7 linked regions of the Macaca mulatta genome follow. The protein of the gene in region 1 interacts with the protein of each later gene in a biochemical or structural test. Links are inferred from orthologs where the notes say so. Each region holds a gene or a part of one and is shown on either strand. Other genes may lie near its edges. The genes, in order: EIF2AK2, CDC42, DNAJC3, TARBP2, DHX9, EIF2A and PRKRA.

Region 1 (3,500 bases):
TGTGGGACTGAGATGAGTCCTATAAAGGAGAGTCTCCCCAACCCCTCTGTCTCCTAAACTGCACTGGGAAACTCAGGTTAAATATGTTCTGTTAGCATCACTCATTCAAATGTCTCTTCCATTGTAGGATACTGGAAGAAATGGCTGGTCATCTTGTACCAGGTTTCTACATGGAGGAACTTAATAAATACCGTCAGAAGCAGGGAATATCATTGAGCTATCAAGAACTGCCTAATACAGGACCTCCACATGATAGGAGGTAAGTTGCTATAAACAATGATATGATCTTATAAATGTAAACTGGGGGAATGGCAACTCTGGCACAACTTTGAGGTCAACACTTTTGTTTTGTGAGAGTCCGCTTGGCGTAAAGCGGTAACCACTTTGGAGCCACAGATGATTCCAGAGAGAAGAGAGGGTAGAAACCTTTCCACACTTCAACAAGACATGCTGTTTTACTGCTTGGGGTGACTGCTTCCATTCTATGTTGAATGTACGTTCAAACCCTCAAAGGTAGTCATAGGAGGTAGTGGTAACTAGAGCACTTGTTTTTAGATAGTGCATGAGTTGTATAATATTTTATGAATATTCTTTTTGTAATCAGGTTTACATTTCAAGTTGTAACAGATAGAAGAACATTTCCAGAAGCTGAAGGTAGATCAAAGAAGGAAGCAAAAAATGCTGCAGCCAAATTAGCTGTTGATATACTTAATAAGGAAAGCGAGGTGAGTGATTGCCTTTTTTTCCTAGTAAATGGGAACTTGCAAATGCATTTTCTATTTCTCTCTGTGAGAAAATACTTCCATACAGAGTAAAGCCATTCACACGTTACCTTACATTCAAGAGTTTGGTTCAGTCATTCCCCCCATCTTCATTTCTATGAAACCCTGAGTGAGAGCTGCACACCCAGGACGCCGTGGGCAAAGCTGGAGAATAGTTATTCAGAGTGTCAGCAGCAGTTAAATACTCTAAAATTGAACAAATATGGAAAGATGAGAAGTGTTCAGTGGGAAATGAGCTGACAGGTTCTGGGATGAGTCCCCTCCATCTAATTGAGGAAGTGCAGTAAAAGAGGAAAAAGAGATGAAAGTGATTATAGGGAGAATGATGTACAGCGGTCACTCACTGTCTGCGGGGAATTGGTACCAGGACTCCCTGTGGATGCCAAAATCCACTGATGCTCAAGTCTTTTATATAAAATGGCATAGTATTTGCATATAACCTATTTGCATCTTCCCATATACAGTTATGCGTTGCTTAACAAGGAGAATACATTGTAAGAAATGCATTCTTAGGCAATTTTCTCATTGGGCAAACAACACAGAAGTACTTACACAATCCTAAATGGAGCAACCACTACGCACCTAGGCTATGTAGTATAGCCTATTACTCCTAGACTACACACCTGTACAGCATGTTATTATACTGAAAACTGTAGCCAATCGTAACACAATTTAGTATTCATGTATCTAAACATATCTAAATATAGAAAAAGTACAGTAAAAATACAGTATAAAAGACAAAAGGCTGGGCGCGGTGGCTCACACCTGTCATCCTAGCATTTTGGGAGGCTGAGGCAGGTGGATCACCTGAGGTCAGGAGTTGAAAACCAGCCTGGCCAACATGGTGAAACCCTATCTCTACTAAAAATACAAAAAATTAGCTGGGCGTGGTGGCGGGCACCTGTAATCCCAGCTACTTGGGAGGCTGAGGCAGGAGAATTGCTTGAACCCGGGAAACAGAGGTTGCAGCGAGCCTGAGGTCGTGCCATTGCACTCCAGCCTGGGGACCCTGTCTCAAAAAGAAAAAAAAAAAGACAAAAGTACACCCATATAGGGCACATACCATGCATAAATAGAGCTTGCAGGACTGGAAGTTGCTCTGAGTGAGTCAGTGAGTGGGTGGTGAGTGAATGTGAAGGCCTAGGGCATTATTGTATACCACTGTAGACTTTATAAACACTGTATACATAAGCTACATTCATTTTATTAAAAATTTTTTTCTTCAATAATAAATTAACCTTAGCTTACGGTAACTCTTTTACTTTATAAACTTCTTATTTTTAACATTTTGACTCTTTCCTAATAACACTTAGCTTAAAACACAAACGCAGCCAGGCGCAGTGGCTCATGCCTGTAATCCCAGCACTTTGGGAAGCCGAGGCGGGTAGATCACCTGAGGTCAGGAGTTTGAGACCAGCCTGGCCAACACGGTGAAACCCTGTCTCTACTAAAAATACGAAAATTAGCCAGGTGTAGTGGGGGTCGCCTGTAATCCCAGCTACTTGGGAGGCTGAAGCAGGAGAATTGCTTGAACTCAGGAGGCGGAGGTTGCAGTGAGCCGAGATCATGCCACTGCATTCCAGCCTGGGCAACAGGGCAAGACTCCATCTCAAAAAAACAAAACAAAACAAAAACGAAAACAAAAACACATAGTATGGCTGTACAAAAATATTTTGTTTTGTTACATCTTTATTCTATAAGCTTTTTTCTATTTTTAGAATTTTAAACTTCTTTTTTTTTTTAACTTTTAAACTTTGTTGTTAAAAAATTAAAACATGATTGGGCACAGTGTTTCATGCCTGGGATGTCGAGGAGCCATGATTATGCCACTGTACTCCAGCCTGGGTGACAGAATGAGACCCTGTCTCAAAAAAAAAAAAAAAAAATGCTGGGCATGGTGGTTCATGCCTGTAATCCCAGCACTTTGGTAGTCAAGGTAGGTGGATCACTTGAATTTGGGAGTTTGGGATTAGCCTAGGCAACATGGTGAAACCCTCTCTGTACTAAAAATACAAAACACTAGCCAGGCTTGGTGGCACGTGCCTGTTGTTCCAGCTACTCAGGAAGCCGAGGCAGGAGGATCATGTGCCTGACATGTCATGGCTGCAGTGAGCTGTGATCTTGTGACAACACTCCAGCCTGGGCAACAGAGCAAGACCCTGTCTCAAAAAAAAAGAAAGAAAAAAATTACAACACACACACACACACCAGCCTGCCTACACAGCATCAGGATCATCAGCGTCACTGTCTTCCACCTCCACATTTTGTCCCTCTGGAAAGTGTTCAGGAGCAAAAACATACATGGAGCTATTCTTTCCTATTGTAGCAATTCCTTCTTTTGGATTACCTACCGAAGGACCTGCCTGAGACTGTTTTACAGTTTACTTTTTTTTTTTTTTTAAGTAGAAAGAGTGCCTTCTAAAATAATGATTAAAAAGTATAATAAATATAAACCAGTAACAGTTACTTATTATTATCCAGTATTATGTACTGTACATAATTGTATGTGCCAGACTTTTTTATAAGACTGTAGCACAGTAGATTTGTTTAGAGCAGTGTCACTGCAAACATGTGAGTAATGCATGGTGCTGTAACCCAGGAGTTTGAGATTGGCCTGGGCAATATGGCGAAACCCTGTCTGTACTAAAAATACAAAAAATTAGCCATTATAGTGGCTATGACCTCACTAGATGACAGTAATTTTTTAGCTCCATTATA
Region 2 (4,292 bases), on another chromosome or scaffold:
GAGAGAAATAACGGTTCCCTCAAAGTACTCAAAGTGTCCAAGAAAAGGCTGACAGATTATTTGCTGGGATTTTTTTTTTTTTTTTTTTTTTTTTGAGACAGAGTCTCCCAGGCTGGAGTGCAATGGCATGGTCTCAGCTCACTGCAACCTGCCTCCCGGGATCAAGCGATTCTCCACCTCAGCCTCCTGAGTAGCTGGGACTACAGGTGCATGCCACCACACCCAGTTAATTTTTGTATTTTTAGAGAAAATTTTAGAGACGGGGTTTCACTATGTTGGCCAGGCTGGTCTCAAATTCCTGACCTCATGATCTGCCTGCCTCAGCCTCCCAAAGTCCTGGCATTACAGGTGTGAGCCACTGCGACTGGCCAGCTGGGAATTTTGTGAGTAAAATTCATGTTATTGGGCACAAACTGCATGATGTGAGACATCTTCTGTAACAAGATGCTTAATATGTAAATAGACCATAAAACCCTTATCAAATTCAGTACAGCATATACTAATATTGGTTGTACTAAGTTATGTGTGAAAATGGGAGGTTTAACAATGCTAAATGGGAAAAGACCCAACACAAATTCTGGAGTCTTTAGAATTAATTTACAATAGAAAAGCAATGCTTTCATATACAACTATAATCTGTCAATTTACAATAAAAATTTAAAAATTAAATGATATATATAAAAAGAAAAGCAAAGCTTTCCAACTAGGAGAAGAATGCCACATTTTAAGACCAGCCCTACTTAACCTTTGGGTACCTACTCTGATTTTCTGATTTATGTTTTAACAGACTGCTCAAGAGCTTATTTAAATGTAAAGAAGAAGAGAAGCAAGGGCCTGAGGGAGATGACAAAGGAAAGTTCGTTCTTAAAAACAAGAACAAAGAAATCGAATGAATGTGATTAAGCTCTCAAACCAAACACATAACTTTCTTAAATCGCACTTAAGAGACTCAAAAACAACCCTCCTTTACTGGATTGTTCATATCCAAAACCAGACTAAGAATCAGAAAAGCTGGCTTCCATTCCAAAGTCTACTTTCCCTAGTGTAATTACACTAAGTAATTAAAGTCAGACTTCTAAGTCTCATCCCTAAATTGGGCCTGAGTACTCTCATCCATAAGCGATGGATAAGACAGTATGTATTGTCCCATTCAACTCTGAATTTCTATTACTCTAGAAACGGCAAGCTCCAATTTATAGATGGGAACTAAAATGCATTTTACACCAAATCCATTTCCATACTAACTTCAACAGGTACCATGAGAACATTATTTGTGCCTCATGGTCCATTCATTTACCTAAATCGGCTCATTTAAAATTTTATTCTACTACTCTTCCTTCCACCCTATCACTTTTCCAGAGATGTACACACAAACATACATATAAAAAACCCACAAGCCCACTTAAAATACAACACCAGAAGATCAAAGTCATAAAAGACTCAGAAATTATGTTTACAAGTTAAACAACTTCAATGGAAACTAAAACAGAAAAACTCTGATAGCTGTCCTCACTCTGAAACAAGATTCATATACCTCTAAACGTCCCCTGTAAGTCCACTGAACCTCACAACATCTTCCATTTATCTTGTCTCCAAATGGGCCAATTCAAAATATCAATGTGATTTTAGTGTTTAATAATACCTTCAAATTCTCCCCCCTTCAAAATAAACAACTTTACTTATTTTTGAGACAGCGTCTCACTACCTTTCACAAATGAGTGTTACTCTAACTCTTGTCTCTCTCTCTCTCACTTCAATATCTTTGTTATTCCCACCTTCCTTCTCCCATTCCAAAGAGCTGATTTAAAAAACAGCTGTGGGGTCGGGCATGGTGGTTCACGCCTGTAATCCCAGCACTCTGGGAGGTCGAGGCGGGTGGATCATTTGAGGTCAGGAGTTCGAGACCAGCCTGGCCAACATGGTGAAACCCTGTTTCTACTAAAAATACAAAAATTAGCTGGGCGTGGTGGCGGGCACCTGTAATCCCAGCTACTCAGAAGGCTGAGGCAGGAGAATTGCCTGAACCCAGGAAGCGGAGGGTGCAGCAAGCCGAGATCGCACTACTGCACTCCAGATAGAAGGGGCGATAGAGACTCCGTCTCCAAAAAAAAAAAAAAAAAGGTTGTGGGGGGTGACCCCCAAAGGTTTCTGTTGGTATTCTCATAACATAACAGGTCTTCTCTTCTCTGCCCCTAACAACCAGTTTGGAGCTCCATTACTGCTAAGAGAATAGTTCCACAAGAAAAGTGGAGACACATACAACTTTCTCTCAAGTTACAGGACCCCAAATGGTATCCCAGGAGACCTCCAAGTACTGTTCAATAACTGGCCAAAATATCCAAAAAAAAAAGTCACCTCATTCCAAGATGTAGGGCATACTTCACCAAATTGAGATCACCACTCGTTAGAATCTTGTCTACTGGAGTTTTGCCTCCCAGCACTTCTTGTAAACCCTTGTGTCACCCCTTCTGACTTTCCACTGATTTTTCAGCTGTTTAATTTTAAAGTGTATATAATTTACCCATGAGAAGTCAAGATCTTTAAAAACAGGAAACAAAGGCAGAAAACAGAAAAAAATTCAGTACACACAGAGAAAGAATTTTCAAAAGGGTATCAAATTTTACATTTTACTAACAGAAAGAAGCCTTTATACTTACAGTTGGTACATATTCCGATGGAAATTTGTTTGTTGTGTAGGATATCAGGAGACATGTTTTACCAACAGCACCATCGCCCACAACAACACACTTAATTGTCTGCATTGCTGAAATAGTTTTGTATCCACTTTAAATATTTCAAATCTGATGTTGACCTGCAAAAAGATTAAAGACATGTTTGTTTATGCTTATATATGTATTTTTTTTTCCTCACTTAGCAACAGGTTAAGGCACTCAGAGCAAGAAAAGAACTAGCACAATTATTATGGCTAAAAGAACCCAATAAGAGAAACAATGACTTGCTATAAGTTACAATAACAAATAAGGTTCATTTCTAAGTTTCTGATCCCTGGCTGTTTCAACTTCTTAAGTGTTATTTCAGAAGGTCCCAACTGGTGTGATAAACAGCAAATTTATTTTTATAATGAAAAAGAAGAGACTGTATCAGAGAAAATTCCACATACTGTACTAAATATTATTTTGTGAAAGCTTTTCTTCGGTTACACGTGCACACACACCTGTATGTATGCATGTATGTGAACTAGACTGCAATACAAAGGCCACCGCTTTAAAGAATGGTTCATTATCCAGCCTTACTCAGCCTTACTCAGGCTCTGACCAACAAGCAGTAGAGCCTCACACGAATTATATGAGTAACGTGAGGAACTGAACAAAGAACAGGGTGATCGCTGGCCTCAGCAGCTGTTTTAGCACCAGAATGCCTAGTCCAAAACCTACATTTTTATAATGAAAAGTCAGACTGCTCTAAAGCATACTGACTTATAAACAGATACTACAGCTTCTCTTATTCGAGTTCTCCTCAATTTTAAGAAGTTATCAATTACAAGTACCAAAGAGTCATTAATTTGAGAAACTTTTTTTCATTTAAACATCTCTAAAGTCAGAATGTATCTTTATTGAGTCTCTTACAATCATTATCAGCCATTTTTCCCCCACATTTTGACTTCTATGAAATTGGAATCTTAGATTCAATGAAATACTTTAACAGTTTTCTGAAAGAATAAAAAGAAATACCACCCAATATATACCTAAATTTTAAGATTTATTTATATGTAAATTAATTTAAATTATAATCCTAAAAGGGTTTAATTAAACATAAAAATACAGAACCACCTAACTCTTGGTCAGATGCCACCATGCTCCTATAGCACCATTCACAACAATTAATCATAACAATTTATAAACGCCTATTAACATCCCTGTAAATGAACCTATAGTACCTCAAGCACCACTATACTTCTAGCACTGAGCACTTCTAGACTGGCACACTGCGAGTTGTTGAAAGGATGCAAAAATCAAGAACACGAAATTACACTAGTGTGAGTAACCTACAGGAAATACACACTCTCCCGTTCCTCATCAAAATTATCTGCAGTATATTTTTCTTTTTTTAAACAGGGTTTTACTCCCATACCCTAAGCTGGAGTGCAGTGGCACAACCTCAGCTCACTGCAACCTCCACCTCCCAGACTCAAGCAATCCTCCCACCTTGGCCTCCCAAGTAGCTGGAACCACAGACACATGCCACCATGCCTGGCTGGGTTTTTGTTTTGTATTGGTTTTGGTTTGGGTTTTTTTAAGAGATGGGGTCTCACTGTTACCCAGGCTGGTCTT
Region 3 (3,500 bases), on another chromosome or scaffold:
ACTTAATGGGTTCCGTTATTTTCATGGAAGTGTTTACTGACCAAGAAATAAAACTTGATCTCTGTATTGTTCAATGTGCTCAGTATAAGTCAGACTTCAACAGGGTATTTTACTCAGGTTCGGAATTCTGAGCTTGTTTCTGTAAGGAAATTCTTCTGGTTTGATTGGTACTTACAGGTATGCTTTGTTCTGTCCATCTGCATCTCCTATGGTCAGATGTTTTTATTTCTTAACTCTTAATTATGGAGTGTACCTTCTATGGGACTCTAGATTAATAAGGGAAAAGCCAAATCTGAAGCCGTGGCCTCATCCAGTTGGATTGATTAAGCAACACATGGTGAAGAGGGGAGGAGCCTTTCTACAGCTCTGGAAATCGAATGTCATTGTTTCTTATCATGATTTGCTCATTTCTTAGATACACAGATGCTACCAGCAAATATGAATCTGTCATGAAAACAGAGCCAAGCATTGCTGAGTATACAATTCGTTCAAAGGAGCGGATTTGCCATTGCCTTTCTAAGGTAACAGTTGACTTGTTCCCAGAAATGTGAAAACTCATCATGTGGAATACCAACCATAAATCCCTTTCTCACATTTCCTTTTAGGACGAGAAGCCTGTTGAAGCTATTAGGGTTTGTTCTGAAGTTTTACAGATGGAACCCGACAATGTGAATGCCCTGAAAGACCGAGCAGAGGCCTATTTGATAGAGGAAATGTATGATGAAGGTAAATCTTTAAGGAATTTGATTTGCAGTACCGAAGTGTTGATTAGGAAATTATCACATTTTAAGCTTCCTTTTCCTTAAAACAAGTTTACCGGAGTACCTGGAAATGGTGACGATTTAGAAAAATGGCAGAGAGCTTGAAAATTACTCTTCCATAGTGGAACCTGAAAGGTATACCATGGGAGGAAAGAGTTCTGCCATTGAAACCAGTTCAGTACAATAGAAAAATAAGTATTTTAGCTTTTTTTTGTAGAAAGTTAGGAAAAAAATAAAATAGAAAATTTAAATGTAGTTCTCATGTCATCCAGAGGTAATCACTGTTCATTTTGCATTTATCTTTTCCAGCTTATGTCTATGCACATACATTACTCTATATTTTATGCACATATACATATTCTCTCTCTCTATATATATATACACACACACACACTCGGTGTGTATGAAACATATATACAGAAAGCATACATATATGTCATATATCCCTAATATAAAATGATCCTCTGTGACCCCAAACTGTGTAGTAAAATAGGACAGTTGCTGCCCTGTTTTGTTCAAGCCGAATGAAGTAACAAGATTCCTGCTAGATGTTGTGAGGACCTTGGTTAAAAGCAGTGTCCTGTTTTTGGAAGAAAACTGTGGCGTATATAGTAATATATAGTTTTTGAAAAATAGAATCCATATATATATATGGAGATATATATATATATAGTTTTATACTTTTTTTCATGTGACACTAAGTTATGAACATTTAAATGAAACAGTTTTTAAAAAAATAGCGTTATAAGCCCTTATTGCAAATATTTTGTTTCAAATTCAGATAAAGCATTTTAAATCAAAAACTAATTTTCTCTTATAGTTAAATGAAGGGTTTGAATGGTAAAATTTGGTTTGTGATACTCTTTTTAAGGCAAAACTGGTCAATCTATTTTTCCCTGCTTTCCTCAATTAGAAAAGAATCTTGCTCCTAAGCAAGTTCCCGGTTTCCAGGGAATGATAACAACCTGGTCACTACTATTCCTGTGACATCTTGTGGGGGATTCAGACCTTGAGGTCTCTGAATGAGGCTTGAAATGAATGCAGTCAAAATGATGTTTTAATATTCATAAGCATGCTTCAATAAGGCAGGTAGTCCACATAGAAAATCCCTTTAGCACACTCGTTCTCTTTCCTTTTGAGCCACCGTGTCTACTCGCTGAGATGGTTTTACTCTAGGATTTTGCATTCCAGTTAGTTTTTGGAACTCTTTATCAAAGATACTTTTGTCATCTGTATGTAAACCCTTAGCTCTTACTGCGAAATTAGAGAAGCTACAGAAGAATATAAACAGCTTAGCTGTTAAAAAAAAAAAAAAAAAGAAGGCTAAATCTTGTAGAATGCTAAATATAATTTGAAAGATGCTTTTGAAACTTGAATGTTAAACTGACTTGCTTTTTGGGGAAACCTGATGGCTTAATTCTGGAAGAAAAAGATGCTTAGTGCTAATTTGATATAATTGATCTGGTTTCTTTTTTTTTTTTTTTGGAAATGGAGTCTTGGTCTTTTACCCAGGCTGGAGTGCAATGGTGCAATCTTGGCTCACTGCAACCTCCGCCTCCTAATTGCAACCAGTTCTTCTGCCTTAGCCTCCCGAGTAGCTGGGATTACAGGTGTGCACCACCACGCCTGGCTAATTTTTGTACTTCCAGTAGTGATGGGGTTTCACCATATTGGCCAGGCTGTTCCCGAACTCCTGACCTCAAGTGATCTGCCTGCCTTGGCCTCCCAAAGTGCTCGGATCACTTGGCCCTGCCCAGTTGATCTGTCTTTGAAGCCTGTTGTTTCCTTGAAAAAATTCTTTTGTATAGGAATTTATTAAAGAGAGAGAGAGAATGGTTGCCAGCTCTCTAAATTTGCAAAAGAAAGAAAGGAAAAGAGCCTGTATAATTGAAACTGACAAGTATTACCTGACTCGTTTGGATTGGAATCAGGGGTTTAGTAAATGATGTAAATAAATAATAATCTTACTTAACTAAGCTAAATAACAGTATGTCTTCAGTTTACTTGAGTTAGAAATATGCTTTCCATATTCTTCTTCCTGGTTTTACCTTTTTTAAATAAGCAATTAAAAATGATGGCAGGTACATAATAAAGAATGAATAGGTTTAGGTTAGTGAATAATGGAACATGGACGTTTATTAATTTGGGGCTTAGAATTATCAGGAAACATATCGGGATATCACTCAATAGAAAGGAAGTAAAGTAAGACTGTTATTTGAGGATGCCTCTGAGATCTTGAAAAATCAAGGGAAATTCTTTATCTCTGCATGTCTCCGTTTTAATAGCTTTTGAGAGGAAGAAACTGACATTGAAGCAATACGAAAATATTGACAAATTCCTTTGAATATAGGGGTAACACAGGTGTCCTTAGGAAATGATCAGTTATATTTTGCTAGAACTTTAGCTGTGTGAGGGCAGAGACCTGTGGCTGTTATATTAACTGATGCATTCCTGGTGCTTATGCTGGCACTCATGTTTGCTGAATGAATGAAGGTAATTTATTTATTATACAATGAAGTCATAGTGGAGAGTAGGGAATTTAGAATTAGTCCTGCCTTTGAGTCTGGCTTTGTGCAGTTATTCTATTTTTTTTTTTTTTTTTTTTTTTTGAGATGGAGTCTCGCTCTGTAGCCCAGGTTGGAGTGCAGTACCGTGATCTCGGCTCACTGCAACTTCCGCCTTCCGGGTCCCAGTTCAAGCAATTCTCCTGCCTCAGCCTTCCGAGTAGCTGGGATTACA
Region 4 (4,212 bases), on another chromosome or scaffold:
AGAGACTCCAAGAAACAAAGTCATGGGGACCTGCAAATGCACACCCCAGCCAGGCTGCCCAAGCCTTCCTCACCAGTGCAGCTGGTGTCGCCAACGGTGACCCGGAAGGTGAAATTAGGCTGGTGGGCTTGGCCCTCGGCTTTGAGAAGGTCGTACACAGGCGTCTTCCCTATTCTGGTCCCATACTCCTGCAGAAGGCTGATCGGGGTCTTGCCTGGGTTGGCGGCCAGCATTTGCTCTATACTGGGGGAAGGGGCACAGACCCATATCACACCTCCCCTCTCTGCACCCACCTGGCCAAGCACTTCCATACCAGACCTAGGCACATTATGGGGGACATAGGGTCCAAGGAACCCCAGGCAGTCTAGCATCCATTGGCTGGGTTCCAAGTGTAGGTGCAGGCTGGAAGAGTAGGGCCCACTACCTCAAAGCAAGGGGGGAAGAATGCACTGCTCCTGCCTCAGTTAAGGTGGGCACGATCCTGTGCCCCATGCAGGTTGAAAGTGCATACCCCCTGACACAGTGCAAGCCAGGAACCCAGTACCCACCAAATGCACTGAATGTGGGGGCATAAAGCCCAGTGTTCCAGTGCAGTCTGGGAACCGGGCCAACCCCAAACTATTTAGAGCTGAAGGCAGCAGCCACTGCCCCGGTGCACGCCGGGAACCACTGCCCACTGCCCCAGTGCTTGCCGGGAACAACCCTCAGGCCAGGTGCATGCTGGGGCCGCGCCGCTACTCCCTCCGCACGGCCCCACGCTTTTTGCCCAGAAGGAATCGGTACGAGGCGGCTCACCTAGGCAGCCCGCAGCCCGTGGTAATGCCGGAGCCTTGCTCCTCTTCACTCATTCCCTCCTCCGTCCCCGCGGGCGCCACCGTGACTGCAGCCTCCACGCGCCCCAATACACCGCCGACGAGCTAGGGCCGGGGCCAAGCCCGGAGTCGCGGCCGGTAGGGCCCGCCGAGGGGCACGCTGGGATATGGAGTCCCCCGCCCACCCTACTTCATGAGCCTCCATCTGGAGGGGAGCTATCCGCCCCACAACCCTCCGCGTGGCTCGCCCGGGCCGGCTGCACCGCCTTCTGGGAGGAGCGGGCTCTCCGCAGTCGCTTCTCGAGAAGGCTGTATTTTTTTGTTTGTAATACCGTCCCGCCTCCTTCCTTCCGCGCCCCCTCTCTCCCGGGCCGTGAGGCTGTGGACATGCGTACTAGCGGAGGGGAAGCCGCTGGGTAGCGGGGCGGTAAGGACTCACTTGGGCACGGAGCCTTTTGGATCCCGAGAAAACTACAGAACCCAGGAGCCCGCGCGCCATCTTTGCCGCAGCTGGAGGGGCAGGGTCAAGCACGCACGAGAAGCTTCATGTTGTCATTGGTTACTCCCATTGCGTTTACTTCCTCTAGGCACATTGGAATTGGTTACTTCGACCAAAGGGGCGGGGACAAGGAAAAGTCAGCCCCCTGACCCCGCCTCCTTGGTGAAGGAAGGTTGTGATTGGTCCGGAGAGGTTGCTGTCGGATCCGGGCTCTTTGAGGTCTGAGAGGGTGGGCTTTACCTAGACGCCGGAGGGGACCGATGTCTGTCTACGCAGGGCTCTGGAGCTGGTGCAGATCCAAGTCAGTCTCAGACAGTCCCCTCAACCCACAGCCTAAGCCCCTGGCCCTTGGGCCTCCGTGACACAGAACTTGCTTCCTCTTCCTAGGTTGTCCTTCACCTCCTTCAGGTTTTGCTTCTTTTGTAAAACCTTTTTAGAACGGCTCTAGTGAACCTCTCTAACTGGCAAGGAAATCTCTGGGGCCTGATAATCAGGCTGTGGTGTGGGGCGACAGGATTAGAAGGACTAGGCACCTGGTGGTCTCGTTCCCTCTGCCATGAGTCTTGGGTCTCTCAGCTGAAGAAAGCAAGAGTGAATTTTGGCCGCCTAAGACTAATCAACTGATCTGGGTGTTGAGCAGACGCAAATTTTTTAGTCCTAGAGCCCCATTGCCTCCTCCCCCAAAGTCGCACAACCACTGGGCTAAGGGAAATCTTGTGACCTTGGAGAAAGGGAGATATCACATTTTTTAAAAATAAATAAATAAATAAAGGTTCTAATGAGTGTTCTGAGAAGGGGTCAAGAAAGAGATGTCTTACTCTGAGGCGGGGCTGGAGGTCCAGAGGAATCTTTAAATGATAATGAGGGGTCATCCAGGAACACTGGAGGAGGATGGGGCCTAGAGTCGAGTGAATTCCAAGTGGGTGAAATTAGAGTGAGCGGTGACAATCAAGGGAAGGAGAGCTGGCAAGATCAGTATGATAGGGGGAGCAATGCCAGAGCGCTAGGGATCCCAACTGAGGGGCTGCTCTCTCCGATGTAGAAAGGAGTCTATAAGACGAGTCATAGGGGGTTCCTGTGGAATCAGCCTAAGGCCTGAGGTGGGACCTCCATAGGACACCGCCAGCAGGGAAGCGCGGGGCCCAGGCGGGCCAGGGACGAGAGTGGAGCGCGCCGGATGGCAGCAGCGGGCTCCTTTAAGAGGCCGGCGGCTCCATCGCAGCATCCCCCGCTCAGGGCGTGTCCGTCCCGGGGGGCCAGGGGCGGGGGCCCTGGAAGGAGCGGGAGTTCAAGCCGAGCAGGGACGGGGCTAGGGGTCGGGGGGTGGGGGCAGCAAGCTGAAGCTGACACCCGTGCATCCGGACACCGCACGAGCATCGCCTGTGACAGCGCCCCGGGTCCGGTGGAGGGCAGCGGGGGGAGGAGGGAAGGAGGAGGAGAAGGAGGAGGAGGCGGGAGCAGCATCCGGAGCGGAGCTGCAGCAGCGCCGCCTTTTGTGCTGCGGCCGCGGAGCCCCCGAGGTGAGAGCCTGGCCGAGTTGTGGGGGGGTGGGGGGCAGGGATGGGTCCGGGTCCTGGGATCCGGGCGTGGAGGGAGGGTCGGGATGCAGATGTGGCCTGGTGCGGGTGGTGGTGTGGGGATGCTGAAGCTGTGGGGATGGAGGAACTGGGGACCTGGACCCGACGCGTGTGGGGCTGGGAAGGAAGGGAATGGAGCGGAGAGATGCCGCGGCCCAGCTTGGAGACGAAGGGCCTCCAGAGCTGGAAAGGACCGTATTGGGGTGGGGTGGAGGGTGATTGGGGGACAGACTTAAAGGACAGAGGGCAAGAGAACATCTCCTCCCACTCATCCTCAGGAAGGGAGAGAGGGAAGGAGGAGGGAGAGTTTTGGCCCCCTCCAGGGAAGGAAAGGAAGGGCAAGGACTGATGTACCCACATCTCCCTCCACACACACACAGACACACACACACACACACACACACACACTTAGCAGGCTGGACCTGAAGATTAGTCAGAGAGCACCTGTTCCTAGATGCCCAGGCGTTGGTCCCCTCCCCTTCCAGCTGTGATCCTCCTAATCCCCTCCAGCTGTGGCATTCACCTCCATCCAGCTGTTGCATCCTCCCCTCCCCCATTCACGTGTGGGTTTCTCCCTCCTCTTTCTCTCCATCTCCTCTGGCTCCCCTAACCCGTCTCCCCCAGTCAAACCCTCCAAAAACCTCCTCCCTTTCCCACAAACACTCCTCAAACTCATTGGCTTAAAAATAAGCAAGAGTTGAGACTTGCTGGTAACCAAGGCCTTGACTGAGAGGAGGGAAGAGTCAAGGCTCTGTAGACAGTGGGAGGAAACAGTGAGGTGTCCCTTAGAATTAAGGGAGGAGTCCTACCTTGTAGATGCTCATCTGCTGCCTTTTTCAGAGGAGCATAGGTGAGTGGCCTCCAATCAGGAGGGAGTGCACATGAGGTCTCCTTACCCCACCCAGAGTCGTCTCAAGCCACAGTCAGTGCATCCCTCTAAACACATTTCCCTTGCAGTTCTCAAGGTGGACTCCATTGCTCTAGGAGCTCTGAGTTTCAGCCAGAGGGTCATACCAAGCCAAGGCTAACAGAAAGGATTTAGGAAGGAAAGGACTCAAGTGCCCCCTGAGCCTTCCTGTCCAGACACTGAAGTTTCTCTGAGCTTTAGGGCCCCACTCCCTCCTATCTCACACGGGTGAAAAAAACATGTGTGTCCCCTCAAGCATACCATTCATCCACTCACTCCCATTGTCAACTGGGGTAATGTTGGGAAAACCCCAGCTCTCAACATGTAGACCACCAGCTAAATACCCATCCCAGTTACAGACAGAGGAGGCAAGAAGTTAGATGTGGCTCAGGATTTCCTAGGCTTTCTTATAGCTGA
Region 5 (3,500 bases), on another chromosome or scaffold:
TTCAGATTAGGGATGCCAAACTGGTAAATACAATGCAAATATTACAAATAAATCAAAATCCACTTCTGGTCCCAAGTATTTCAGTTTTAAAAGAGATATCTGACCTGTATAAATTAACAATAGCAAACACTTATTGGGAGATCATGATGTGCCAGACACTGTTCAAAGTATTTTACATTATTAACTCATTTAATTTCTTATACTAATCCTATGGGTTAGTCATTATTTACCATATTCTTTTTACAACTGAGGAAACAAGAGAGATTAAGTAACTTAGTATTGTATAGAATGAGGAAAACTCAGGCTTAAGGAGTAACCACTTAGTGTTATACAATATATTAGACACAAATAATATTAAAATCTAGGTCTCCATATTTCTAATTCTGGCTTATTCTCTATAAATGATTCATGATGAAGATTCTTAAGAAACATTTACACCTGATTCCAACATGGCTGGCAAAACTTAGATCAGCTTAAATTTGCAGGTTTACATAACTGCATGTCTGTCCCTACAGAGAACAGAACAAAAATCCCTTACTAAAGGTCAAGAATTGGTCTTACCTCTCAAAACGAGCTCGGCTGCACAGGTGAAAGCAGAATCCAGGCCGTACTCGGCCAGCTCGCCCTTTCCGCTGCTCAAGGTTTGTTTTTGATGCCCATACTGTAGCATAGTTGGTCATATTGTTGTGAGCAGTGAAGAGTTTCACTTTCTGCCTACATAGGAAAGACTGGTTAATTCTAAGACTCATGTGTACTATCAATAACTATTACATATCCACTAAGTAGTGAATCCTTTCCACTATGTAGTTAAAGTCATGCCTACTTGTGATGTCTATACATCAATGGCACAAGTAAAAATTATCAATTTGACTGCACACTCCTAGTTGTCAACCTACTGAAACGCAATGTAACATCTACCTGCCACTTACCAGCTGAACTGCCTTGGCCAAACTTTCTATGCCATTACCTACCTTATAAGAGTTTTTTTGTTTTTGTTTTTTGTAAACGTTAAGTAAATTAACAAATGCAAAGCATTTAAATGGAATATGGCACATACACAAAATAAAATAATTATTTAAGTCATCTCTATTCCAAAGTTTAGTGTAACTTTTAGGATATCTATATGTAGTGATGACTGTGTGGTCCTTCTGAACCCCCAGGCAACCTCAGATTCCTTCAATGTTACATACAGAGACAGCTGCCACTAAACTACTGGGACTGGCACAGAATGCTATTTAACATTTCCTAAAACGGATGTTGGCAGCAAATTGTTTTCATTGTCAGGACACACTAAGGAATTATACAGAGAAGTCATGGGGCACAAGTTGGCCAGATATAACCAAGTTTCAACGTTTTTGTCCTTTCAATTGATCAATTACCATGTAATTCCTGTATCTACACAGAATGCCTCCTGGCATATTTTCCAGGTTCATCTCATACCAAAATGAAGACCTTTAATCCATAAAGGAGGGTCCTTCAAGGTAGGATATTTGTCATGTGCTAAACACTGGTTATCTTTATTGATCAAATAGCATGCTATAGTATGTCAGAGATCAATGGAAATACCCAATGGGAAATTAGCGAAACACCAGCAGCCAAGAGCAATGAGAAGTAATCATCAGTTACAGTTTCAAGCTTTGTCACTTTCTACCATAACTGATTTGCAGTAATCAACACAAGTAACTACTCTTAATTATCAATTACCTATAATGCTATATAGATGCACTATAATTTTGGAGATATGAGAACACAGGAGTTTAAAAATAAGGTGTTTTTGATTCTGTTAACTGGTAAGAAGTTTCCAGTTGGTAATACTGGAACAGGCAAATAGGTTTCCCAGTAACTTACTTGCAGGAGTCAATGACATAAACAACATCGTTTATGGTAATGCTTGTTTCAGCAATATTTGTGGACAAAATAACCTGTGAAGAAAGAAAAATTACATTCTTATTACATACTTGAAAGGACTGATTTCCTTATGTAACAAATGACAAGAAAATTACAGAAGTCCTAAAAAGATCACCCAATAACTGATTAATGAACCATCTACTAAGCTCAGAAAGAGAAGACTCCTTTTTTCTTCCTCAATTTAGATGGGTTACAAGTTTTTGGTTAGCTCTTTGAAGGCCTGTAACATTTGTTTAGTCTCTACCTCACTTCCAGTCCCATCACTGTAATGTTTAATATTTACCTTGGTTACTCCAACTGGTACTGGATCAAACACTTTGCGCTGTTCCTCTCGAGGAATCTGAGAATGCAGAGGTAGAATCTGATACCGATGGCTTCCTATATAACAATACAGAACAATCAGGGACTAAAAACAGGAGCTGGTTTCAAACAGCTCTCCATTATACATACTTTTATTCAAAGGTAGAGACAACACAAAATTTTGTTTTCACATACTGGCTAAGGCACTAGCAAAACCACTCATTTTCACTCTCAAATACGTGAGAATTCAAAGATTCATACCAAAATGTGGATTCATTTCCAAATGCTTCTGCATAGTATAAATCAAATTCCAGCCAGGCAAAAAAACCAACACAGCTCCAGGAACATTAAGGGTTTCAATGTACTTAAGTAGAGCTTCGATGAGTTCAAAAGGAGTTTCCTTTTCGTTCAATTGAGACATGCTCAACCTTGTTTCTGGACCATATTCATCACCACAGATCAAGTTGCAATTTGCCTGTAAAAAATGGGGAGACATATTTTGGACTGTCTCAGTTACTACAGCTTATGAGATAAGTCTTCTAGATTTCTTCCACTGACTCTAATGACTTATAATGTCATTATTTATTCTAGTTGACTAGTCACACACTATAGAATACAGAAATTTAATTTCCAAAAACACAGAGCTTACATCAATATACCGAACTTTTCTACTAACTAGTACTTCTCACAGGATAGGACTAAAACTGAAGCACAAACTTTTAAATTTGACTCAAACCTCTCATGGAGCCTTCTACCGAGTATATTTCTTTTTTACTATTACTGAAATAATGTGGTATTCTCCAAAAAGTTTACATTAGAATCAATGATAAAACAAGTTGAGAAAGTTGTTACAATTGTTTTTTTCCTGCTAAATTTTCTAATCTGCTGTTCATTTACATCTTCAGATCTTTTGATTAAAAAGATATAATCTTAGGTTTTCTAGCAAATTCTGTATTGCTGGCTGGCTCAGTCTATATTTCCAGATAATTCATTTTTATACTATCATTTGTCCAACTCTCAAACACTACAAAGTAAGTCTTTCCTGTTTCTCCTAGGAAATCCCTCATCGCTCCCTGATTTAATACTCCATCCACCTGATACTGTCATCTCCAGTCTCCTGTAGCTAAAGCTATAGCTGCTGTCTCTGAAACTTTATTGTATATACAGATCACTTGGGGATCTTGTTAAACTGTAGATTCTGATTCAGTAGATCTAGGGTGGGGCACAGGATTCTGCCTTTCTACCAGTTTCCCAGGTGCTGCAGCCTACTGAAAACACTTTGAGTAGCAAAA
Region 6 (3,500 bases), on another chromosome or scaffold:
TAACAATCATAGTTTTTTTAAAATTAAAGTTTTATGCTTATAGTTTTATTTAAATTAAAGACTACAAGGTTTTTATTTAATTTCTTCTATCTTATTTGTATTGCCTTTTGTTACCACCAAGAATCTTGTTTCTCTGGAATACCAGGGATGATAATTTGAGAATATCACATTCACATAAGCGTTCATTTGGTTTGTTCCACATTATCCACAGGGTATTCTTAGAATCTCAATACCGGCCGGGCGCGGTGGCTCAAGCCTGTAATCCCAGCACTTTGGGAGGCCGAGACGGGCGGATCACAAGGTCAGGAGATCGAAACCATCCTGGCTAACACGGCGAAACCCCGTCTCTACTAAAAACACAAAAAATTAGCCGGGCGAGGTGGCGGCGCCTGTGGTCCCAGCTACTCGGGAGGCTGAGGCAGGAGAATGGCGGGAACCCGGGAGGCGGAGCTTGCAGTGAGCTGAGATCTGGCCACTGCACTCCAGCCTGGGCGACAGAGCGAGACTCCGTCTCCAAAAAAAAAAAAAAAAAAAAAAAGAATCTTAATACCAAAAAGTGACACTATTGCTGAAAATAATTTTTTAAAAAGGGTTTGCAGTTATTTTTGTCTTTAGAGCATCCCATTACTGATTGTACAGTTTTGAGTATATTATAGTTAGAATAGGAATTGGTAACTTTGTTCACACATACCAAAGATGGCATGTAGGCTGATTTTGAGCAATATCCAATCAGTATAATTATGCCTTTCATTTTCCTGTGTTTGAGGCGCACTGTCACCTCGCTGTTTCAGGGTTAACTTGCTTTCTTGTCTGATTTGCCTCTTTGTGAGCATGCCAAATGAAGAGGGATCACCACTTTGACAGTTTGGTGCGCTGCGCTTGAAAAGCCATTGATCTCTGAAATCAAACAAAGAAAGTATAGTAGCTCTTGATCTAATTAACTAGGGTAGCAGTTTTATTAATAGCAGCATGGTTTGGACTGCTTTTAATATCAGCCATTGTTACTATGGTTGTGATCATGGTTATCATGCATCTGTTTATCACATTAAGTTATAGAATTTCCATATCCACATTCTGCAGTAGCAGGCCAAGGTTGATCTTTTCCTTCTAATAGGCTCTAAGACCACTTTATTTCAGCGATTGAAGAGAGGATAACTGACATTTATCAAATACCTACCATGTGCCTGGCACTGTTCTCTTAAAACCAATTACTGAGAGTTGGGTGGTATAATCGCATTACTTGCCTGAGCTCACACTGCAAGTAAATGACTGAGTAGAAATTGAAGCCTACATTTGTCTTGCTCCTACCCCATGCTTTTTCCACTGTGTTACTGTGTGTCACCAGCAGGAGACTACAGTGAGTACTATTAGTGTGTAGTTATAGTAATCCTTTATAATGTATTCAGAGTTTAACATGTTCCTTTTAGCCTCTCTCATCAATCTGATTTAATTTACTCTTTTTTTTAGACACAATTGCAAATAAATTGCATTTGCAAAAAATTAATGATTTTGTATTATCACCTGGACCCCAACCATACAAGGTAATTGCTGTTTTTGTTTAAGTGGAATATTATGTGTTTAAACCTTTTCCTAGTTTTTTGTGACTGTAAAAACATGTCCATCTCAGTTTTTATTCTCAAAAAATTAAGTAATGATTTATGTGTGTATCTTAGGTGGCTGTCTATGTTCCAGGAAGTAAAGGTGCACCTTCATTTGTTAGATTATATCAGTACCCCAACTTTGCTGGACCTCATGCAGCTTTAGCTAATAAAAGTTTCTTTAAGGCAGATAAAGTTACAATGCTGTGGAATAAAAAAGGTATGCTAAGTATATTTTATCCCTCTTGTTTACCAGTTGTTAATTTAGGCTATATTCCTGTGCATATAACAGAAGAATCAATGCCCATGTAATTTGTGTTTTAAATCTAATTAAAGTTTTTACTGTTATAGCTACTGCTGTGTTGGTAATAGCTAGCACAGATGTTGACAAGACAGGAGCTTCCTACTATGGAGAGCAAACTCTGCACTATATTGCAACAAATGGCGAAAGTGCTGTAGTGCAATTACGTGAGTATTCCAGCAGTCTTCCTTTGATTAGAAACAATGGTAGTAAAAAATACTATGCCATAAAGATGATATAATCTAAATTCTTGATCAAAAGATAGAATTCAAATACCTTAATAACCTTTAAGATAAAATTCTTCTTTTTTTTTTTTTTTTTTTTTTTTTGAGACGGAGTCTTGCTGTGTCTCCCAGGCTGGAGTGCAGTGGCGTGATCTCGGCTCACTGCAAGCTCCGCCTCCCGGATTCACGCCATTCTCCCGCCTCAGCCTCCCAAGTAGCTGAGACTACAGGCGCCCGCCACCACGCCCGGCTAGTTTTTTGTATTTTTAGTAGAGACGGGGTTTCACCATGTTAGCCAGGATAGTCTCGATCTCCTGACCTCGTGATCCACCCGCCTCGGCCTCCCAAAGTGCTGGGATTACAGGCTTGAGCCACCGCGCCCGGCCAAGATAAAATTCTTCTTAATTAAGAAACTTAAAATCATCCTCAAACATACCTTATTTTGGCAGAATACAATTAGTTATTTGAGTTATGCCAGCGTTTTAGAAGTAAACTTCCTGAGTGAGGTAATTCCGTTGTAGTAGCTCTTTTGGAGCTTACTTAGCTAATTATGACAGCAAATTGCTTAATACTATCTTTAGAATTGTTAGTAATATCCAAGAGGCCAGGCATGGTGGCTCATGCCTATAATTCCAACACATTTTGGGAGGCTGAGATGGGAAGATCATTTGAGCCCAGGAGTTCAAGACCAGCCTGATCAACATAGTGAGACCCCGCCTCTACAAAAAATAGAAAAACTTAGCCAGGCATGGTGGCATATGGCTGTAGTCCCAGCTCCTCAGGAGACTGAGGCAGGAGGATCACTTGAGCCCAGAAGTTCAAGGCTGCAGTGAGCTATGATCATGTCACTGTACTTAAGCCTGGGTGAAAGCCCGTCTCAAAATAATAATATCCAAGAATGTTACCACTTCATCTGTTGTTTTAATGAACTAAAACTTTAAAATAATAGTTTTAAAATACTGACAGCTTCCTAATTTTCTCGTTTTGAATTGAACTTATGTAAGTAGGGTAATCTACCTTTTAAAAAACTGTATTTCCATTGAAGTCAAAGAAAAAACAAGGATGGCTCCCCTTTTCACTTTATTTTAATAACATTCTGAAATACCTAGTCACTCTAACTAATCAGCAGAAGTAGAATATATACAGTTTTGAAAGAAAACAAAATCATCTCTGCTCATGTAGTCGAAGTCACACTATAACCAACAGCTACTTTAAAAAAATAAAAGATTCCATATATAGCAAAAAAAAATAACAAATATATAGGGCCAATGGGAAGAAAACTTTAAAACTCTTCAGAGAGACAAACTATGGCCTTTACTAAGAAGAATTATTTTTATAAAGATGTCATTTCTCTGCTATCAATCTAAAACTAAATTT
Region 7 (3,500 bases), on another chromosome or scaffold:
CCTCCCAAAGGGCTGGGATTATAGGTGAGCCACTGTGCCTGGCCTGTATAGTTACTAATTCTTACACTTTTGAAGGCATTTGTTTTAAGTTTTTAATAGTTATGCTTTCTGTTTTTCTATAATAATTGTATTTTCCTATGTCTAGCATTACTGAACCACATTTAATTCTGACCAATTATTCATATTTATTAAAATACATCTGAATTATAACTCCTCTCTCTCAATGTCTATTTCCTGCTTGTGATCTTCTCTAAACTGACAATTATATGGAATTCCTTTAAACAGGAATAAGAAAGGCACAGGGGATGCTGGAGTTGAAAGATACCACAAATATCTATCTCCATGTTTTTGTTTTATAGATTAAAAAACTGAGGTCCAGAGAGATTAATTTGCTTAACTTTGCAAATCAAGGACTGCATCAAAAATGGAAGTTGAGGTTCTTGCTTTTGACCTGGTGCTTTCTGTAAGAGCCCACACTACCTCCCAAAGGCACACAGTTTCTTATTACTTGAAACTATTATCTAGTTAAGGTAAAATCCCATTTTAAGCCACTTTAAAAAATGACAAAAACATGCCAGAGAAGTTAACAGGAATTCTCACTAGTACTTTCTAAAGTGACAGTGTTTCTTACAGTTTATATCCTTTATAACATAGGAGTTGCTACAATTAAGAAAGATAATTTTCATTTTTATCTCACTGCAATTATTTGCCATCTAGTCTCTTATTAATCATATCGTTTTCAAGGGTAATCTTCCTCTAGTCCTATTTTCTAGATAGAATAGCTCTTAAATAAAATCCAAGAGATTTGCTATAGCTTTGTCTCCAAAATGAGTTTTTTTAAAGTCACTAATTTATCAATGAAGACTGTTTAAAGTACAAGCCAATAGTTTCTATTAATAATCTCTGATTTTTAAAAATATCAAATTAAGACTAAGTATCTTAAGCCAAATATTTATACTTAAGTTCAGCCTCAGAAAGTCAGAGACTATAAAAGAGGAGTGTATCAACTTTTCTGCATAGAAATACTGGAAAACATTATGACAGAAATTTCTATAGTCATTCATCATCTGAAAATATTTCAAATGCCTTTAATTGTAAGAAATAAGTACCAGTTTCCATAAATGACTCTAGCCTGCAAATTGTGGTATATTCTCTCTTATGAGCAGGTCCTCCCTCCTGGGAAAGGGTATATTCAGGAAGTCTCCAGCCATGATGAATAGCCAATTCCTATAAAATCAAGATGAGGCTTTAATAGTAATTTTATGCAATGGCTCAATCACATAAGTATTTTCTTAATTTTGATCCCATTTCTATGTATATGTTTGAAAAGAATAGTGATTTTCTGCAACGGATAAAAGAGGGAAGACCCTCTATTTCTCAGAGACATTCCTGCATTTTGTATCTTTATATCCCAATACCAAAACTGAATCAGTTTTCTGCTATGAATGGTGTTCTTGAATTAAACCATAGTGAGCTGGTATGAGACTTCAACTAGAAAAACAGGCTACTACCGCCCTCTTTGGGAACACCAGAGGAGACCATCTACAGGTTTCACTGCCATCAGTTCCTAAAGTCCCTCCCCTCCTAGCTATAGACTTCCAAACCCACAGCTGGCCAAGAACACATGAGTAGGGACAGCAAACAACAGACTTGGATGAGGTGGGGGACAGAAGGTGAAGAAAACTATAGAAAAGCTCATAGTGCTGGAAAAAGAGACCAAAGGACTGGCTGAATAATGGGGAGGGGAATGGCCTAACAGAGCACATGAATAGTCTGCAAGGATATTCTGCATATAGAAATTCAAAGCTGAATATGTGTGCATATGTGAGTGTGTGTAGATATAAATTTTTCTTTTTTCGGTAGAATAAGCAAATAAGCAGACTCCTTTTCTTGAGTTAGGTTCACTGATTTGATTTAGGCTCTTTATAAAGTCTTCTGTCTCAACAGAAGTAGAAAGAGATTTGTCACAAGAGTAGCAAGAACTATTCTTAAAGTATAAAACACTCTACCCATGTGCACTGAGGGCCTATTGATCTTAAATGAGAATTGTATAAGCCAAAGGCAAATACTGTATATGGAATAATTTCAAGTTAGCTCTATAAATCTAATGATCGTAAGTTGGAAAACAAAATATATCACTATCTTGTCTTTAAAATATTAATTCCTTGTGTTAGCCCCTCTGATATTACAAACTTATTATATATTTCATCAGTAGGCAAAGAACTGTACAACTTACCTGTAATGAACCAATAGGATTAAGCTGGTTCTTTGGTTGCTTGGAAGGGTCAGGCATTAAGGGATCAGGAACTGCAAAGCTAAATATTTTTTAAAAGTGTTATAAAACAAAATAATTTCCCCCAAATTATGAAATAAATGACAAGCATTTTCTAATTAACTCTCTATGTCTTTGCTCTTGTCATTCCTTCTACATGGAATGCCCTTTTCTCAGGCCTCTTCTATGGGAATCTGATCTGTCATCCAAGATATATCTCAAATGACACTTTCTCCAAGAAGCCTATCCTTTTACCCCAGTGGTTTATAATCTCTCCCTTCTTTGAAACATTATAACACACGGTTTAATCCTTTCTTGAGGAAATTGTTTTACCATAAATTATATACTCTTACAAATACATATAATTTGTCCATCCTTCACCATACCTCTCCCCTATTCAGACTATAAGCTCCTTGAGGTAGGGCCTATGTATCACTTACCTACATAAGCTTTGTGGCGTTTTGTACGTAATAGGCATGTCATAAAAAAATATTTAAAGAATACTCTGTTACAACTATGCAAAAAATAGAAGAGTAACAATGATCCAGAAAATTGAACCTGGCAATGTGAACAATACAGATTATTTATAAACATTGTTTTTTTCATCCAGAGAACTATGAAGAGAGATCTGTTTGATCTGTCATCTGCTCAGTGCTGGGATAATCCTCTAAGATTTACATGTATCCTGCATAAAATAGATGGCTTAGATGAATTTGGTTTTAGCATGTGGGGATTATGATTAGGGAAAAAGAGAACCTCTTCTAGGGAGTTGGGAATTACTAGTTACTTGGCAGGTCAGTGCTTAAAACTGAATAAGCGGCATTTCAAGGTTACTACCACCTAGGCAACTGGAGTCATTTTTCCATGACAAGTGAGGTTTAGTTATTGCCACTTCCTCAAGGTTTTTTTTTTTTCTTTTTCTCCAACTGCGAGAACTTCAAGCTTTACATAGGCTGATGAGATATGAGTATTCACTTACAATGCTGCATGCCGAAGCTACCCAAATAATTGTGATGGAGAAGTGAGAAAGTCTCTGTATTAAGTCAGGCCACTTTAGGCCTGATTACAGCTTAGTAATTCCCATTTTATCTGTCAAGAAGCACAAATATAGTAAAGTTTGTTAGCTTTTTTTGCTGACAAAGTGAAGTGCCCAGGTGCAGAAAGGACACTCTATACCCCTCATTTCTACAAGTGTACTTACTGGTTGGGTTCACCTTCAGGCTGTACA

Evidence for each region.
Region 2: the proteins of EIF2AK2 (region 1) and CDC42 form a complex in vitro, tested with the Homo sapiens proteins (2 studies listed by BioGRID and IntAct). The link is inferred for Macaca mulatta from reciprocal best matches to the Homo sapiens genes EIF2AK2 and CDC42.
Region 3: the proteins of EIF2AK2 (region 1) and DNAJC3 form a complex in vitro, tested with the Homo sapiens proteins (2 studies listed by BioGRID). The link is inferred for Macaca mulatta from reciprocal best matches to the Homo sapiens genes EIF2AK2 and DNAJC3.
Region 4: the proteins of EIF2AK2 (region 1) and TARBP2 form a complex in vitro, tested with the Homo sapiens proteins (2 studies listed by BioGRID, with this or other methods). The link is inferred for Macaca mulatta from reciprocal best matches to the Homo sapiens genes EIF2AK2 and TARBP2.
Region 5: the proteins of EIF2AK2 (region 1) and DHX9 form a complex in vitro, tested with the Homo sapiens proteins (2 studies listed by BioGRID, with this or other methods). The link is inferred for Macaca mulatta from reciprocal best matches to the Homo sapiens genes EIF2AK2 and DHX9.
Region 6: of the proteins of EIF2AK2 (region 1) and EIF2A, one has a biochemical effect on the other in vitro, tested with the Homo sapiens proteins (4 studies listed by BioGRID, with this or other methods). The link is inferred for Macaca mulatta from reciprocal best matches to the Homo sapiens genes EIF2AK2 and EIF2A.
Region 7: the proteins of EIF2AK2 (region 1) and PRKRA form a complex in vitro, tested with the Homo sapiens proteins (3 studies listed by BioGRID and IntAct, with this or other methods). The link is inferred for Macaca mulatta from reciprocal best matches to the Homo sapiens genes EIF2AK2 and PRKRA.

Annotation. Positions count from the first base shown.
Region 1 is NC_133418.1:87,794,655-87,798,154, forward strand, and holds part of EIF2AK2 (interferon-induced, double-stranded RNA-activated protein kinase), read left to right. Parts: intron 1-127; 5' UTR 128-140; coding exon 141-259; intron 260-604; coding exon 605-725; intron 726-3,500.
Region 2 is NC_133406.1:218,932,870-218,937,161, forward strand, and holds the start of CDC42 (cell division control protein 42 homolog), read right to left. Parts: upstream 2,801-4,292; 5' UTR 2,763-2,800; coding exon 2,658-2,762; intron 1-2,657. UniProt on the Homo sapiens protein: Plasma membrane-associated small GTPase which cycles between an active GTP-bound and an inactive GDP-bound state. In active state binds to a variety of effector proteins to regulate cellular responses. Involved in epithelial cell polarization processes.
Region 3 is NC_133422.1:90,497,350-90,500,849, forward strand, and holds part of DNAJC3 (dnaJ homolog subfamily C member 3), read left to right. Parts: intron 1-415; coding exon 416-521; intron 522-605; coding exon 606-726; intron 727-3,500. UniProt on the Homo sapiens protein: Involved in the unfolded protein response (UPR) during endoplasmic reticulum (ER) stress.
Region 4 is NC_133416.1:60,654,483-60,658,694, reverse strand, and holds the start of TARBP2 (RISC-loading complex subunit TARBP2), read right to left. Parts: upstream 2,801-4,212; 5' UTR 849-2,800; coding exon 796-848; intron 685-795; exon of another isoform or gene 549-684; intron 244-548; coding exon 74-243; intron 1-73. UniProt on the Homo sapiens protein: Required for formation of the RNA induced silencing complex (RISC). Component of the RISC loading complex (RLC), also known as the micro-RNA (miRNA) loading complex (miRLC), which is composed of DICER1, AGO2 and TARBP2.
Region 5 is NC_133406.1:40,339,667-40,343,166, reverse strand, and holds part of DHX9 (ATP-dependent RNA helicase A), read right to left. Parts: intron 2,684-3,500; coding exon 2,470-2,683; intron 2,287-2,469; coding exon 2,192-2,286; intron 1,923-2,191; coding exon 1,849-1,922; intron 715-1,848; coding exon 562-714; intron 1-561. UniProt on the Homo sapiens protein: Multifunctional ATP-dependent nucleic acid helicase that unwinds DNA and RNA in a 3' to 5' direction and that plays important roles in many processes, such as DNA replication, transcriptional activation, post-transcriptional RNA regulation, mRNA translation and RNA-mediated gene silencing.
Region 6 is NC_133407.1:53,591,207-53,594,706, forward strand, and holds part of EIF2A (eukaryotic translation initiation factor 2A), read left to right. Parts: intron 1-1,467; coding exon 1,468-1,541; intron 1,542-1,673; coding exon 1,674-1,818; intron 1,819-1,949; coding exon 1,950-2,066; intron 2,067-3,500. UniProt on the Homo sapiens protein: Functions in the early steps of protein synthesis of a small number of specific mRNAs. Acts by directing the binding of methionyl-tRNAi to 40S ribosomal subunits.
Region 7 is NC_133417.1:83,391,672-83,395,171, forward strand, and holds part of PRKRA (interferon-inducible double-stranded RNA-dependent protein kinase activator A), read right to left. Parts: exon of another isoform or gene 3,174-3,500; intron 2,316-3,173; coding exon 2,237-2,315; intron 1,228-2,236; coding exon 1,110-1,227; intron 1-1,109. UniProt on the Homo sapiens protein: Activates EIF2AK2/PKR in the absence of double-stranded RNA (dsRNA), leading to phosphorylation of EIF2S1/EFI2-alpha and inhibition of translation and induction of apoptosis.